Macaca mulatta: one gene and its partner. The protein of the gene in region 2 interacts with the protein of the main gene of each other region in a biochemical or structural test. Links are inferred from orthologs where the notes say so. Each region holds a gene or a part of one and is shown on either strand. Other genes may lie near its edges.

The links. The genes of interacting proteins can lie anywhere in the genome.
Region 1: the proteins of RBX1 (region 2) and UBE2D4 form a complex in vitro, tested with the Homo sapiens proteins (2 studies listed by BioGRID). The link is inferred for Macaca mulatta from reciprocal best matches to the Homo sapiens genes RBX1 and UBE2D4.

Annotation. Positions count from the first base shown.
Region 1 is NC_133408.1:84,416,709-84,420,352, forward strand, and holds part of UBE2D4 (ubiquitin-conjugating enzyme E2 D4), read right to left. Parts: intron 3,586-3,644; exon of another isoform or gene 3,456-3,585; coding exon of another isoform or gene 3,455-3,455; intron 3,267-3,454; coding exon 3,235-3,266; intron 3,139-3,234; coding exon 3,061-3,138; intron 1-3,060. UniProt on the Homo sapiens protein: Accepts ubiquitin from the E1 complex and catalyzes its covalent attachment to other proteins. In vitro able to promote polyubiquitination using all 7 ubiquitin Lys residues, but may prefer 'Lys-11' and 'Lys-48'-linked polyubiquitination.
Region 2 is NC_133415.1:10,578,559-10,582,859, reverse strand, and holds the start of RBX1 (E3 ubiquitin-protein ligase RBX1), read left to right. Parts: upstream 1-1,435; 5' UTR 1,436-1,456; coding exon 1,457-1,534; intron 1,535-3,971; coding exon 3,972-4,050; intron 4,051-4,301. UniProt on the Homo sapiens protein: E3 ubiquitin ligase component of multiple cullin-RING-based E3 ubiquitin-protein ligase (CRLs) complexes which mediate the ubiquitination and subsequent proteasomal degradation of target proteins, including proteins involved in cell cycle progression, signal transduction, transcription and transcription-coupled nucleotide excision repair.

The DNA.
Region 1 (3,644 bases), on a different chromosome or scaffold from region 2:
TTGCCGGCTGGGCGTGATGGCTCACACCTGTAATCCTAGCACTTTGGGAGGTCGAGGTGGGTGGATCACAAGGTCAGGAGTTCGAGACCAGCCTGGCCAATATGGAGAAACCTCATCTCTACCTAAAAATACAAAAAAATTAGCCAGGTGTGGTGGCACATGCCTGTAATCCCAGCTACTTGGGAAGCTGAGGCAGGAGAATAGCTTGAATCCGGGAGGCAGAGGTTGCAGTGAGCTGAGATTGCACCACTGCACACCACCCTGCGTCACAGAGCAAGACGCCATCTCGAAAAAAAACAAAAAAAAGGATTTTGCCTCCTTCGCTAGCTCTGAGAACTCACTGGTACTTCTTAGGCTAGATGGAGATGCACAAACATCCTTTATATAATTATCTACCATTTTTTGCATGTTTGATATAGTTTTTAATATTTTTTAAACTTACTTTGGAATATGAGAAGAGAGTTATGTGCATGTGAGCTCGAATATCTATTACCATATAATTTTTCCCAGAAAGGGTCAAACTTCAAAATCATCTCAGATATTAAGTATCTGCCTCAATATCTCCAATAAAGACCATGCAATCTTGCCAGATTCCTCCTATTGTCAGAAAATTTGTGCCAAAACATAAATCCAGTTGCTCCTGTTCCCTGTAGAAGGAGGTTTTTGAAAGACAGAAGCACTTTCTTCCCTCATAGAATGTCACTGTCACCTTTTAGCTCACATCTCTCCTTGCTAAAATAATCCCAACTCACCCACAGAGCTTACTTCTTAGTCTTTTAATAATAACCACTGTTGGCTGGGCGCAGTGGCTCACACCTGTAATCCCAGCACTTTGAGAGACCAAGGCGGACGGATCACCTGAGGTCAGGAGTTCAAGACCATTCTGCCCAACATGGCAAAACCCCATCTCTACTAACAACACAAAAAATTAGCCAGGCATGGTGGCGGGTGCCTGTAATCCCAGCTACTTGGGAGGCTGAGGCAGGAGAATCACTTGAACCCGAGAGGAGGAGCTTGCAGTGAGCCGAGATCATGCTACTGCACTCTATCCTGGGTGACAAGAGAAAAACTGTCTCAAAAAATAATAATAATAATTTAGAAATAATAATAATCACTGTTTCTCCTTTGTCCTTGGGCAATTAGGTACCCTGAAAATGCCCAACAGACATTCAGGACTACATCCATATCTGTTTAAGGAAAATCCTCAGCTGCTCACACAGTAATGAAAGAGATAAGCTAGAAAATTACTACTTGATAGACACTGCCACAGTCTCTCCAGAGGGTAAGGGAGAAGGGGTGGATCAGAGCACCGTGAAGCATGTTTATGATTTTTCAACCAAACCCCCTTGAACAGCAGTTGTACTCTAATGTGGCAAAGCTATTTTAGCATCTGTCATTGCCCTGCGCAGCACACCCCACTCCCTTGCCAAAAGTTTAAAAGGTCTCTGGGATCCTAAGCATATTTAACCAGGATTTAAAATGCTCAGGCACCACGTAGCCTCTGGTGGTGATGTCTGGACAGAGCTGCAGCTGGCGAGCACAGAAGTGGCTTCTTCACACTGACTCAGATAAACAACACGCAAAACAGCAGCTAAGCCTCTGACTCAAACTGAGTCATCAAGGCCAAGTCAAGGTAGTAAGACACAGCAATGTCACAACCCCTCGGCTAAGGTGTCTGATGCAGATGCAGGACTTTTGAGTAAGTCTTGCCAAAATGCACAACCTGGCCAGGCGTGGTGGCTCACACTTGGAATCCCAGCACTTTGGGAGGTGGAAGCAAGTGGATCACCAGAGGCCAGGAGTTCGAGACCAGCCTGGCCAACATTGTGAAACCCTGTCTCTACTAAAAATAATACAAAAATTAGCCACGTGTGATGGCAAGTACCTGTAGTCCCAGCTACTCAGGAGGCTGAGGCAGGAGAATCGCTTGAACCCAGCCTCCTCCACAAGGCAGCAGAGTGATCGTTTTGGTGTGGCAATCCCCACAATGGCGTGCAGACCCTACTCCTGGGGCCATCCGTACCTCTCTGGCCTCCTTCCCAACTCCTCACACGCTCACTCCCCTGGGGCAGTTTCCTGGGGACCCGTCTGCCCCCTTGCTGAGCTTCTGCAGTTCCCCCTTCTCAGGGCTATCTCCCCACCACCCCAGCTCCTGCTGCCAACCACTGCTTGTGCTCCTCCCCAGTGCTGACAGTGCTGACTGGCTCACACGCTAAATGCCCTGCCTCCTCCACAGGACTGTGAGCCTCAGAGCAGGCTCAGCTACCCATGCAGAGCCCAGGTAAGAAGGAGTATGAGGTGCAAGGGTCCAGGGGATGAGACGACCTGCAGTGCATAATACATGCTAGGGCAGGGTGGTTGAGGCAGCTCCCTGGGCTTCTCCTTCCCTCTGGTGGCACTGCTCTCTAAAACTCCACTGATGGGATGGTGTGTGCATAAAGGGCAAAGGAGGTTTGCTATTCTTTTAACTTAATAAAGGAAAGTGAAGGTGTGACTCACCAGTCCTAAACCAGGGTGTGTCCACCTTGGCACTATTGACACTTGGGGCTGATCATTCTCTGTCACGGGAAGGGAGGCTGTTCTAGGCACTGTAGGGAATCCCTGGGATACCCTGGCCTTTGCCCACTAGATACCAGCAGTACCCCCTCACCACAGTTTTGATAACCCAAAATATCCCAAGATGTTGCCCAAATGTCCCTGGGGCAATAGCAAAATCACCCCAGCAGAGAACCCCTGTCCTAACTCTAAGGGACTGCAGAGAAGGGAGCCAGAGCCTGGAGACATGACCAGACTCAGCTACAGTCACAAGGAAAAGCATTCAAACTGTGGCCTCAGTAAGGAGGCCAGCACCAGCTCACCCCACTGACCCTTGGTCACAACAGGTGCTAATTCCCAAAGTCCAGTGGTTAAAGTCCTGGGAGGCTGTCACCACAGGGTGGAGCGGTGGGCCCTCAGAGAAGCCCCATGTACAGCTCTTTTTACCTATACCTGACTTGAAGGGCCCCTCGTCACATGCTGTCCTTCATTCAAACATCAGGGGAGTTGTGAGGGGCACCTCACCTTTGGGGGCTTGAACGGGTAATCCGTAGGAAAGTGGATGGTCAGGAAGAAAACACCTCCTTGGTAAGGACTGTCATTCTGGAATGATGAGACACAGGAAGAGATCAGTGCATGTGCTAAGCCCAAAGTGCAAGAAGCAAAACTGGAGTGGTGTGCTCAGCAGCTACTACCTACCGGGCCCATGATGGTGGCCTGCCAGTGGAACACTACAAGACAAAAGAGAGATGGGCATGTAAGAGACCCCCCAAGAAACATGTCTATTCTACTGAAAATGCACTGCTAAATTACAGGGCACTGTCCACACGAGATGCACTCACTTCTGACACCAACTGCAAGACTGGGGTTCCCCAAACCACCCAAGATGCGGTAACTGCCTAGGACTCCCAGAGCTCACTGAAAGCGGGTGTGCTCAAGATTGCCGGTTATCCCAGGGAAACAGCATAAGTTAACATCAGGAGGGTCCAAACGCAGAGCTTCCATTCTTCTCTCTCCGTGGAGTCGGGATGTGTTACTCTCCTGGCATTGCTGTACGGCAACACACACAGAGTACCCAATCAGGGATGCTCACTGGAGCCTCCGTATTT
Region 2 (4,301 bases):
GGCTTCAAATCACCTGTACGAGATCTAAGAGTGCTCTGGCGGAGTCATACCTCTGCAAGGTTAGAGATGTCAAAGGGAGTCCTGGTCTAGCGAGAAAAGGGAGAGTGACACAAAGTACAGGTGCTTGGGTCGGGCGCGGTGGCGCACTCCTGTGATCCTAGCACTTTGGGAGGTCGAAGTGGGAGGATCGCTTGAGCCGAGGAGTTCGAGACCAGCCTGGGAAACAGAGTGAGACCTTGTCTCTATTTAAAACAAAAAAAAATCGGCTCTAGCCTGTAATTCCAGCACTTTGGGAGGCCGAGGCAGGCGGATCACCTGAGGTCAGGAGTTCGAGACCGGCCTGGCCAACATGGTAAAAACCCGTTTCTACTAAAAATACAAAAGAGCCGGGCGTGGTGGCGGACACCTGTAATCCCAGCTACTAGGGAGGCTGAGGCAGGAGAATCGCTTGGACCCGGGAGGTGGAGGTTGCAGTGAGCCGAAATCGCGCCAGTGCACTCCAGCCTGGGCAACAAGAGCGAAACTCCGTCTCAAAAAAACACCCCAAAAAGAATGCTTCACAAAAATTAAAGAAATACAGCGACTGCAGATGGGTCGGTTTCACTATAGCACAAGTAGCGGAAAGAGGACACAGACTGGGGAGAAATCACCCTACACAAGATGACAACTGAGGAATGAGAAGTGGGGACTGACACACGCCACGGTGAAACCGCGCACCACGACCAAAGGCGGTCCTAGGACTGCGACTAAGCGGGCGCAGAGGCCACCCTCCAGGCTTGGCGGGGGGATGAGGGCAGCACTGGGGGCCTGCTCAGTCTGGCCTTAGGGAGGACCTTCGGGGCTCTCCTCTCTCCCCATCGATCCCTGAGCAGTTCCCGAACAGAAATCGGAGACCAGACGGTGCCTGGGCCCCAGCCCTCCCACGCGGACTGCGCCTTGGGCCTGGCTCGGAGGTGGGTCAGAGTCTGCGAAAGACCAGCGAGGGCTCTCAGGTTTCGGGGCAGGCGGCGGGCGCCCACCCCGGCTAGCAATGGGAGTCGCGCGGCGACCGGGCGAGCCCGGTAGGCAGGACAGGACTGCGGCGCAGGTCCGACTCAGGCGGAGGAAGCAGCCGCCGCCCCAGCTGATGGAGTGCGGCCGGGGGCTTCCCAGAGGAGGCGGCGACCTCGAGCCCTTTCGAACGTTTCTACCAGGCTAGCTCACGTAGCCTCGGCCCCGCCCGGCCCCGCCCCGCCCCACCCACTCCGGCCACCGCCCCCTCCCCGGCCGACACTTCGCGGGTGGGGCGACTTGCGATAGCCCCTTTAAGAGGCGTGGTCACGTGCTCCGCCCCCACCTCCCCCACGCGCGCCAGTAAGGGGTGGGGTGCGGGAGGAGGTGCCGGGGAGGCTGGGGGAACGAGGTGTGCGCTGCTGCGCAGGCGCGGTGGTCGGACGACAGACCGTGTGTTTCCAAAATGGCGGCAGCGATGGATGTGGATACCCCGAGCGGCACCAACAGCGGCGCGGGCAAGAAGCGCTTTGAAGTGAAAAAGGTTGGGTCTCGCCAGCGCCTTCCTCAGGGAAGCTAGAGAGGCGCGGATCTGGCTGGCAGGCCCGAGGATGGTCGAGGCGCGGAGTAAAGGGTTTCATTTTAGGGCGTTCCTGGGACCGGGTACCACGAAAGGAAGTCGGGGGGCGGGCCTTAGAGTTGATCGGCGTGACGGCGGCCCACTGTCAGGGGAAGTGTTGGTTTCGATGTGAGGCTGAGGGGCCAATCACAGAGCTGCTTGTTGAGATACGCGGGGTTGCGACTTGGCGGCGGGAGCCAAGCGCCTGAGCTGTCACTGGAGTGGTTGAGAGGTGGGGGAAGGTAGGGTGGGGTGAGGTAGGGTGGGGTGGGGTGGGGTGGGGTGGGTGGAATGGGGAGTCAGAGCGACTGCGGCGGTGGAGGATGGGGCAGTGCGGCGAAAGCCTGGAACCTGAGGTCCTACCGCATTGGAGGCCTCTGAGGAGCCCCGCTAGTGATCTTGCTCCGCCCCTTTTTGAAGCTTGCTTGGGGTCCTCTCACTTGAAGGGATCAGACTTGTTCCTCGCTGAACCGAGGCCTCCATTAACCCCATCTCTGGGCCTCACACCGCCGAGTTAGAGTCTGGAGTGTAATGCTTGGGTGTTCTGAGACGTCTGTTGGCTTTTCCCACAACCACCCCACTCTTGGATTCTCTGTCACGTTCAGAATCTCCCCCTTCCGAAATAATAATAAAAAGCACGGTGGAACTTGTTAAGAAAATCCGAGCCCAAATCCTGTGGCATTTCGGAAGGGTTGAGTACTAGTTGCGAATGACTTGGTAAGAGGGGAAAGCAAAAATGGAACGTGTCTTTTGCATGAAATGCATTTTAGTGGTTTGCCACAGTTTGGGAGAAAAGTGTCGATTCCCACCTAACATGAAAACTATTCGAAATGGAGATTCTGAAATAGGGAAGATATTCCTGGAACATCTGGCTAAACACTGACAATATCCCCCCCCTCCTAGTGCTTTTTGGTGTCTCATTGTGGCCACTGCTGCTCAGTTACAGCCAGCCATATTGAAGAATAATAGAAGTAGGGGCTTTTCCTCCAAGTTGAAGCTGTGATGTGAAAAGTGGTGAAGAAGTTACTAGGCACTGAGACTGGGGTTTGAAAGCGATGAAGGTTTGGGAGTACTTGTAATTGAGGAAACCAGAGTTGAATGAATGAAATGCCACTTTTAATTAAACTCTTACTGGAATTATTATCTTTTTTTTTTTTTTTTTTTTTTTTTTGAGACGGAGTCTAGCTCTGTTTCCCAGGCTGGAGTGCAGTGGCCGGATCTCAGCTCACTGCAAGCCCCACCTCCCGGGTTCACGCCATTCTCCTGCCTCAGCCTCCCGAGTAGCTGGGAGTACAGGCGCCCGCCACCTCGCCCGGCTAATTTTTTTTGTATTTTAGTAGAGACGGGGTTTCACCGTGTTAGCCAGGATGGTCTCGATCTCCTGAACTCGTGATCCGCCCGTCTCGGCCTCCCAAAGTGCTGGGATTACAGGCTTGAGCCACCGCGCCCGGCCTGGAATTATTATCTTAATAGAAGAGTCTAAACATATAAAAGTTCAGAACATCAGTTTATTTTATGGTAAGAATCGAACAAAATTCTAGTGAATTGTAGAATTTGTTATGAAGTAATCTAAGATTTAAGTGATGACCTTGTTCTGTGTACTGACATGGGCAGTTAATTATCCAGCTTATCCCACGATTACCTGTTTTATGATCCAGTCATCATCTTAGTTCATTCTGTTCCCTAGCTTTCACTTCATTGCTCATGCTTCCAAAGCTGCCTGGAAGAGCAGATACTTATTCAGATTTTGAGCGCTTCTGCAACTGCCACCAAAACCTGCACAGAAATTCAAGTTTGTGCTTTTTTTTTTTTTTTTTTTTTTAGATGGAGTCTCACTCCATCGCCCAGGCTGGAGTGCAGTGGCACGATCTCGGCTCACTGCAACCTCTGTCCCCCAGATTCAAGCGATTCTCCTGCCTTAGCTTCCCAAATAGCTGGCATTATAGACACCCGCCACCAAGCCTGGCTAATTTTTGTATTTTTAGTAAAGACGGGGTTTCGCCATATTGGCCAGGCTGGTCTCGAACTCCTGACTTCAGGTGATCCACCCGCCTCAGCCTTCCAAAATGCTAGGATTATGGGCGTGAGCCACTGCGTCCGGCCAGACTAAATTGTTTTAAACTACAGGAAACAAAAGATGACATTCATTTATGTCTTCATATACTCAGTCTTTTGGAGAATAGGAGAACGTATGTGTTGTCTACTGTTGTCTTTGGTATAATAAGATTAACATAATATCCAAAACCTTTTGTTTGGTGGTTCCTTGTGGCCAGAGATCATAACTACAACTGCAGCCTGAAGTCCTAAAAACTGTGTGTGTGTTATAAGGAGAATGCATTGTTCCCTCTTTTTGTCTTTGCAGTGGAATGCAGTAGCCCTCTGGGCCTGGGATATTGTGGTTGATAACTGTGCCATCTGCAGGAACCACATTATGGATCTTTGTAAGTAATTGGAGGAGGATGGGAGGAAGTTGAGAAGGTTGCAGAGCTTGTGGCTATCTTGATGTGACCGATTTTCTTCTTCACAAGCAGATATCAAGCCTACTCTGAGCACTCGGTCTTCTGTATCTAGTCTTTTGGTGTGTTTGAAATAGAGTAGTTTTTTTATGATGTCCTGGAGGCATACCCAGCTTTCAGAATAAATCTACTCAATCTAAAGATGGCAGGAACACATTTAGAATTAATTGTGGACA